2 linked regions of the Danio rerio genome follow. The protein of the gene in region 2 interacts with the protein of the main gene of each other region in a pairwise test. Links are inferred from orthologs where the notes say so. Each region holds a gene or a part of one and is shown on either strand. Other genes may lie near its edges.

Region 1 (4,070 bases), on a different chromosome or scaffold from region 2:
TGGCGGTTCTAAGCCGAAAAAAAAGAAAGAATAATGAGTAAATAATAACCCAAACAAATGAACAAACTGAACAAAAGGCATTTCTATATACACACTCACTATAGCCTACCTAATAATATCATTTATCCATATTAGTTTTTGAGCCATTTTATTAATGCAGCTTCTTCTATTGATATACTGTACCTTAAGGTAAATATTAAATTGCCATTGTTGTCTATTGAAGGTGTGTGCGTGCTGTCAACGACGATCGGGGAGGGTAGTGGCGGTTCTAGTTTAAATGACACCCTGGCAAACCACCCCATACACCCCACCTCCCTTGAATTGTTAGATTTGTTATTTAATAAACATAACAAACAACATAATAAAACAACAACTGGAGTGATATGCCAAGACCACTTAAGAAACCTTTTGCATGAAAATTAATTATAACAATTCTAAAGAATTATCTGTGGTCTTAGACCAGATCATGGCTGAGAAATCATGTTATGAAGTCTTACCTCCCTGACTCATTATCCATCCTTTCTGCTTTAAAGCCATGTTTAGTAATCATCATATTATATAAACTTTAGTCGACTTTAAAAACTCGCTGCGTGCCTACACCTCTGCACAAAAGGCTGTTACTCCGGTTTCACGGCACATGAGCGGCGCCTATTTTATTGGCGTGCATGGAAACAACCAACCGGGATTCACACAGGAGTGCGTGAGGCGCGCGGGAATGGTTTTCTGCGCGCATGCGTCAGTTTGCTTTCACCAGCATTGAACCAGAGGGGGAGAGCTAGGTCAGTAACACCAACAATAATTTAGTGACTGCATTTTATGTATTTATTTATTTAAATATTGGGAATTTATAAGTACATTTAAATCAATAATGTCAACAGCAAAATTATATTGGGGTGGCCACAGGGGTGGCCAGAGTTTACCGTGGGGTGGCCGTGGCCACCCCTGGCCACCCCTTGGGGGCGCCCCTGTACTCAACACTGTTTATTAAACAAACGCTTTACAAAGTTTTAATGACTGAACGAGGTGCTGTGACTGCTGTCTCTGTCAGACTAAATGTATGACTTAACTGTTTAACAGTCTAGTAAAAATGAAAGGAGAGACAGACAGGGGGAGAGACACCGTTGAAAAAATAGTGTTTATGTTTGTCTGTGTGAAAAGCGGAGAGCGGGAATGAAAAGCAGACGATATGACATCATAACTTCCGCTAGTGCGTGCGCGTCTGAGGGGGAGGACAAGAGTCCTTTAAATAGAGACCGAGCTCCTGGCAGGCACACAGAGCAGCTCTAGGCTTCCACTGCATTGGATGATCACAGTAACGCCTTACATCTACAGAGATTACAGAGAAACTCTACAGAAGTAAAGCATCTTTAAGGTAACTTTGTGTTCTTGTTCTGTCTCATTTCGTAGGCTTAATGTTACATATGGGCTGATTGTTATTCAGTCGAGAGTCAAACTTTTCTAGTACAATTTTGGTAACATTCACTTGTGATCGATTAATTGGAGACATTTTGGTTTGCTCTGGGGGTAAAAAGCATGTGCAAAAAGCAATTAATATTTATTAATAATTTAAAGCTAAATATTAGGTGGTCTGACCTGTACACTTTACCAAAAAATAATTTACTTTAAAATTGGGTTTTCCCACATTTTAAAAAATGAAAATTAACTCAATTTGCTCTCCCTCAAGTGGTTTCATACTTTCATGATTTTATATATATATATATATATATATATATATATATATATATATATATATATATATATATATATATATATATATTTTTTTTTTTATTATTTTTTTTATTTATTTATTTATTTATTATTATTATTTTATTATTATTATTCAGTTGAAGATAAAAAGATATTTTGAAGAATGCTGGAAACCTGTAACTATTGACTGTCCAAATATTAAAATCAAATGTTGCAGGTTTCCAGCATTCATCAAAATATCATAATTTAAAATCATAATATTATAATCAAATTGTTTAATAAATGAAAGAACCCTAAATTTTTAACATGTTAATAGTGAGTAAATGATGATAGAATGTTCAGCATTGGGTTAACTGTCATTTTTAGTGTTTAAAGTCAAAGATTATGTGCTATGGTAGTCTTTACATAAACACGCCAGATATGAGTGAGTCAAGACAAGCAAACAGAGACGGCGTGGTATTGCGTTTGAGTGGTTGGTGTTGAGTCTTGCACATGAGAGAGAATTTTCACAAGGGAAAGTAAAGAGCTTGTTCTCTTTTTGGAGGAGGTTGAAACATTTTTTGTCCTGAACAATATGCTAAGTGAACACACCCTCACTGTCACCCAGAAATATACAATAATCGCTGACATTTCTCTCTCTCTCTGTCTTTTTCAATAGATATTCAGAATGCAGAGCCTGAGTGTGCTACTGATCTTTGCCCTTTGCGCATCAAGCTTGTGCAACCTTATCCAGGACAAACAGACAGATTTTGGGCTACAGGTGTTTGCTGAAGCCGTCCAGTCTGCTCCAGATCGAAATCTGGCTCTCTCTCCATATGGTATCGCCTCGGTGCTGGGAATGGCTCAGATGGGTGCCTATGGCGCTACTCTAAAACTGCTCGCCTCCAAGATGGGCTACTCTCTGCAAGGTAGATAAATAAAAGCGACTCAGATTAAACAAAAACTATCATGTTGTTAAATAAAAATGTATTCTGAATGTGATATGTAAATGTTGCTTTTCTCTTTCTTTCCGACAGAAAGAGGAATGCCCAAACTGCAGAGGCTTCTTCAGAGAGATCTGGCCAGTGAAGATGGAGTGGAGGTGGCCAGCGGGGTCATGGTTGACCGGAAGATCATCTTGGAAAAGGTCTTTAGGCGCAGCTTGAGCAAAGCCTTCCAGAGCGTCCCACACCAGATAGACTTCAGCCAGCCAGAGATGGCCAGGCAGGTGATCAACTCCTGGACGTCTGACCACACTGGTGGTGTGTATGCTATTTTGACTAAACTGCCTTTGATATTCTTCATTTGTACAACTCTTTGGATAAAAAAGGATTGCGTGCCAATATAAGCTCACCATACGCTATATAAGATGCTAAACTTGTTTGTTGTTGTCATCATCCTAGGAATGATTTCTGAGTTCCTCCCATCTGGAGTGCTGAGTGAACTGACACGGTTAGTCCTCCTGAATGCCCTGCACTTCCACGGGGTCTGGAAGACACCATTTGACCCCAGAAACACTCGAGAGCAGCTCTTCCACACAGTCAATGGCAGTGCTGTATCTGTTCCTATGATGACAACCACTCAAAAATTCAACTATGGTGAGTTTCAAAGAATTTCAGTGATGGGTTAGTGAGAAAACAAGAACTTTTGTTGTTATTTACAAAGTTGTTTTATTTTAGGTGAGTTCGTGTCTAAGGATGGCGTGGACTATGACGTCATCGAGATACCTTATGAGGGGGAGTCGATAAGTATGCTCCTGGTGACACCTTTTGAGAAGGACGTGCCTCTGTCTGCCTTGAACAAAGAGCTGAGCAGCAGCAGGATCCACCAGTGGAGACAAGAAATGAGGAAGATAAGCAAACAGCTGTCTATTCCAAGGTAACCAACTTGATCTATTTCTGTAAGCTTTGGGATTTTCTGTTGTGATGATGAACATGTAAAATAGGAGGCCTAACTTATGTTATATTTTCAGGTTCTCCATGGATACTGAAATTGATCTGAAGTCCACACTGAGCAGAATGGGTCTTGGAGACATTTTCAGCCAGAGTAGAGCTGATTTCTCTCGCATTACTAGTGAGTATTAGGAATTATTAACAGCTTTGTTTGGGAACATTTGTAGCCATTTAGTTAATATTAGGGCTGCACAATATTGGAAAAAATAGATATTTTGATATTTATATGTTTTGCTATTTATACTGCGATATTTAACCAGATCACTTGAATAGCTTTATTTAGAAAAATTAACAATTTTAGATTGATTGATTAGGATGATTTTGTATGGGATCTACAGATGAGCATTTGGGAACAAATAAAAATAAACTATAAGCATAGATAAGCAAAGATACAAATAATGGAGTTTAACAGAATTCAGGTACAGAAATAAA
Region 2 (3,937 bases):
CAAAATATTGCAATGTCAAATTTTTCCAACATTGTGCAGCCCTAATGCATACAACAGTTTGCAGTGCTAATGACAAGAAAGCCCTTTTGATCTGACATGAAATAGAAACTGAACAGACAGTCCAGGAGTAAAGAAAAAAAAAGGCCTGTGAGTCTGTGACTTTAAATGTTTTAAACATGAGGTGACCTACCTTCCAGACTCTCCTGTTCATCTGAATTCAGTGAGCCACAGTGTGTCTGATCTCTGAGGAACTGCACCATAGAATATGCCAAACGCTTTTCCACTGCCATTTTGTCTGGGAGAAACCAGAGAAAAGATTTGTTGATACAGGATTATTGAAAAAAAAAAATGTTTTAACCAAATCAGACATTGGACAAATCGGACATTAAAGGAAGACACTGAAGGGTTAGATAAAAGAAGAATAATTGTATTATAAGATATCATTCATTTTCTGTCGCTTTTCCGGGGCCGGGTTGTGGGGTCAGCAATCTTAGGACTAGGAGAGAACCCCAGACTTCCCTCTCCCCAGATAACTTCCTCCAGTTCCTCCGGGGGGATCCCGAGGCATTCCCAGGCCAGCCGAGAGACATAGTCACTCCAGCATGTCCTGGGTCTTCCCCAAGGCCTCCTCCCGGTGGAAGGCTCCTCCTGAGTTTCAGAGCTCCGACATAAGAGTGCGCCCTGCCACCCTTCGAAGGAAACTCATTTCGGCTGCTTGTTTCCAAGAGCTTGTCCTTTCGGTCATGACCCAAAGCTTATGACCGTAGGTGAGAGTAGGAACGTAGATTGACCGATTGACCTTTAAATCGAGAGCTTTGCCTTTCGGTTCAGCTCCTTCTTTACCACAACAAACTGGTACATTGACCGCATTACCAATAAGCCTGTCAATCTCATGTTCCATCCTTCTCTCACCCTTGAACAAAACCCCGAGATACTTAAACTCCTCCATCTGGGGTAAGGACTTTCCTCCAACCTGGAAATGGCAAACCACCTTTTTCCGGTGGAGCATCATGGCCTCGGACTTGGAGGTGCTGATTCTCATCCCAGCCGCGTCACACTCGGCAGCAAACCGAATGCATGCTAAAGGTCGATGTTCGATGAAGCCAACAGAACAACATCGTCTATGAGTAACAGAGATGACATCCTGTGGTCCCCGAACCGGACCCCCTGCAGCCCAAGGCTACGCCTTGAATAGTTGAGAATATGTTGTACATGACATATAGGAGAATATGTTGTACATTTTCCTGCTTTTAATTTTATATTATAATAAAATATAATATCACCATTGCATTTTCTAATTCCCAAAATGTTCTTGATAAAAAAAAAGAACAGAACTTCCCTTGAATGCTATGAAATGTGTTGACTTTGTAGCACTTGCTATGCGAATTTAACATGAAAAAACAACTTCATCTTCATCACAAGCTCTGTCAATATCTAGTTTTACTCCTCATCAGTGTTGAGTATTACATCAATGTTTCCATTTTTAAGATGTTGGCTTAAAATCTTTACTGATATATTAATATACAGTACTTAACCCTCTGGTCTTATTCAGACAAAACTATTTGTTTTATATTGTAAATTCAACAGAATGGTATGAAAGTTTGTGACTTTTGCAGCACTCGCTATGCAAACATACAGTCAGAAAACCGTGGACTTGTTTCAAATATGCTAAATGATCGCAGATGGCAGATTCATTGAGAAACGAAACACCACATTGTTACTTTGAGACACAATGTTCAATGCTCTGGGGAAACAAAACAGAGAACAGATCATACAAATTCACTCAATATTAAGTTCTCTGTTGAAGTGCTGTATAAGTCAATAGCACATTGCAAAAGTGCTCATGAACAAATAGTCTACCCACTGAGTGGCACTAATTTCCCTCTAAAGAATTTCACATACTTTAAGTACTTGTATTATAAAACTCAAGCACAGCATTAATTTTAATAAATAGCACCCATTGCATTAGAATATGAAATAATTGTCCAAAATAAATGTGACTATTTTAGTACCATAAAATCCAAAATAGCAAAAATGAAAAAAAAAACATTTACATTTTTATAAAAATACAACTATTGTATCATTAAAATCATTGTTTTGGCCATCAAACACATGTGTGATATAAACAATACCATAGGGTTAAGTATGTTTATGTTAACGTTGTATACATAATGCTGCTGTGTGTGTTGTTGCAGGGGTTAATTACATAACGTTCACCTATGAATTATTTTATAAGCTTCTGATCATCAAAGCCATATTTGACACATAAATACTTCTGGTGCCACTCTTACAGAATATACATAATACTTTCACACAGCTGCGATACACAGTCAAGCACAACATACGTCCCTAGATAACAAAAGCCAAAACATATGATGCAGTTATGATGTAATGCTGACAACAACTGAATCAAAATGTCACCCTACAACATGAAACATCATTAAACCTCCTGTATATTTCTAAATACACCCATATCGCAGATCAGCACTAGTGTGTGCATCACAGATGGTCCGTGTTTACACTGCTTTACACAGATTGCAGGGGGCTGTGCAATGGCTGAACACGTTCGCAGTTTATTTAACGCACGGAAAGAGAAACCTCTGGTACTCTTCTTCAATAGCTTCGCATTTCTCATAAAGCGTAAAAATATCAATAACATTATAGTGTTGTGGATGCTGTGCGCGCCCCCGCCCACCTACCTGGAGAAAGTGCCCGCAGCGCTCGCTCCACAGTCATGAACACTCTCGTGACACTGATGCTCAGCACTGCGCACGCGCATCACTGACGGAAATGACTGGTCGAGGATCACCACCACCATGAAGAGTTTTATTCATAATCTTATTACGTATAAGACGCGAGTTTAGCTTTCTATATAAAATTAATTATTCATTTTATATTTAATAAAACCTTTGATAAATATTATAACTCAATGTAGTTTTAATAATTTATAGTCAGTTACAAGAGATGATGTGTCAAAAAATTTCATACCAAAATTCATTCATTTTCCTTCAGCTTAGTCTCTATTTCAGAGAGACTAATTTCAAAGGCCGCCACAGCGGAATGAACTGCCAACTATTGTTTTACACAGTGAATGTCCTTCCAGCCACAACCCAGTAGCTAACTTTACTGGGTAACGTCCATAGGCTACACTCACATTCACACACACACTACAGCTAATTTAGTTTATTCAATTCATCTATAGCTCATGCTTTGGACTGTGGGGAAACCGTAACACCCGGAGAAAACCTACACGAACACGGGGAAAACATGCAAACTCCACTCAGAAAAGCCCACTGGTCCTGCCAGGACTCAAACCAGCGACCTTCTTTCTGTGAGGTGATAGAGCTAACCACTGAGCCATCGTGCCGCCCCACACAATGTATTGTGACTATATGAAAACAAAAAATGACTCAGTCTTCAGTTTAATACAAGCCATTAGAAATCGCGCCTAAAATGATATGCTCGAGTCTAGAAACATTACTGATTATTATAAGAAGAAAACAGTTGTGCTGCTTCAGAGTTTTGTGGAGAATCATGATTATTAAAGTGTCAAAGCCCTCAAAATATGAAGCAGGAAATATGAAACATATTTAACTTATAATAATAATAACCATTTTAATGACTGAGCGATGAGCACCAATTATAATTGATACTAATTAATGTCCCTTTTTCGGTCATAGTACAGCAGCAAGTCAGCAAATGATACAATAGGCCTACATCACAGACTGCTATATAAAGCAAACATATATTGACTAAATTATTCATTCATTCATTTTCCTTATTTGGTTTAGTCTCTTTAATTATCAGGAGTCATCACAGTGGGATGAACCATCAATTTATCCAGCATATGATACCCTTACGGTTGCAACCCAGTACTGGGAAACACCCATACACTCTCAATCACACACATACACTACGGTCAATTTAGTTTATTCAA

What was found.
Region 1: the proteins of sgtb (region 2) and serpine1 interact in binary tests that used the Homo sapiens proteins (3 or more experiments, as listed by UniProt). The two-hybrid records come from large-scale screens. The link is inferred for Danio rerio from reciprocal best matches to the Homo sapiens genes SGTB and SERPINE1.

Annotation. Positions count from the first base shown.
Region 1 is NC_133182.1:26,294,624-26,298,693, reverse strand, and holds the start of serpine1 (plasminogen activator inhibitor 1), read left to right. Parts: upstream 1-1,270; 5' UTR 1,271-1,372; intron 1,373-2,365; 5' UTR 2,366-2,374; coding exon 2,375-2,615; intron 2,616-2,723; coding exon 2,724-2,948; intron 2,949-3,089; coding exon 3,090-3,284; intron 3,285-3,365; coding exon 3,366-3,564; intron 3,565-3,658; coding exon 3,659-3,759; intron 3,760-4,070. UniProt on the Homo sapiens protein: Serine protease inhibitor. Inhibits TMPRSS7. Is a primary inhibitor of tissue-type plasminogen activator (PLAT) and urokinase-type plasminogen activator (PLAU).
Region 2 is NC_133185.1:17,682,918-17,686,854, forward strand, and holds the start of sgtb (small glutamine-rich tetratricopeptide repeat-containing protein beta), read right to left. Parts: upstream 2,801-3,937; 5' UTR 2,737-2,800; coding exon 2,700-2,736; intron 296-2,699; coding exon 191-295; intron 1-190. UniProt on the Homo sapiens protein: Co-chaperone that binds directly to HSC70 and HSP70 and regulates their ATPase activity.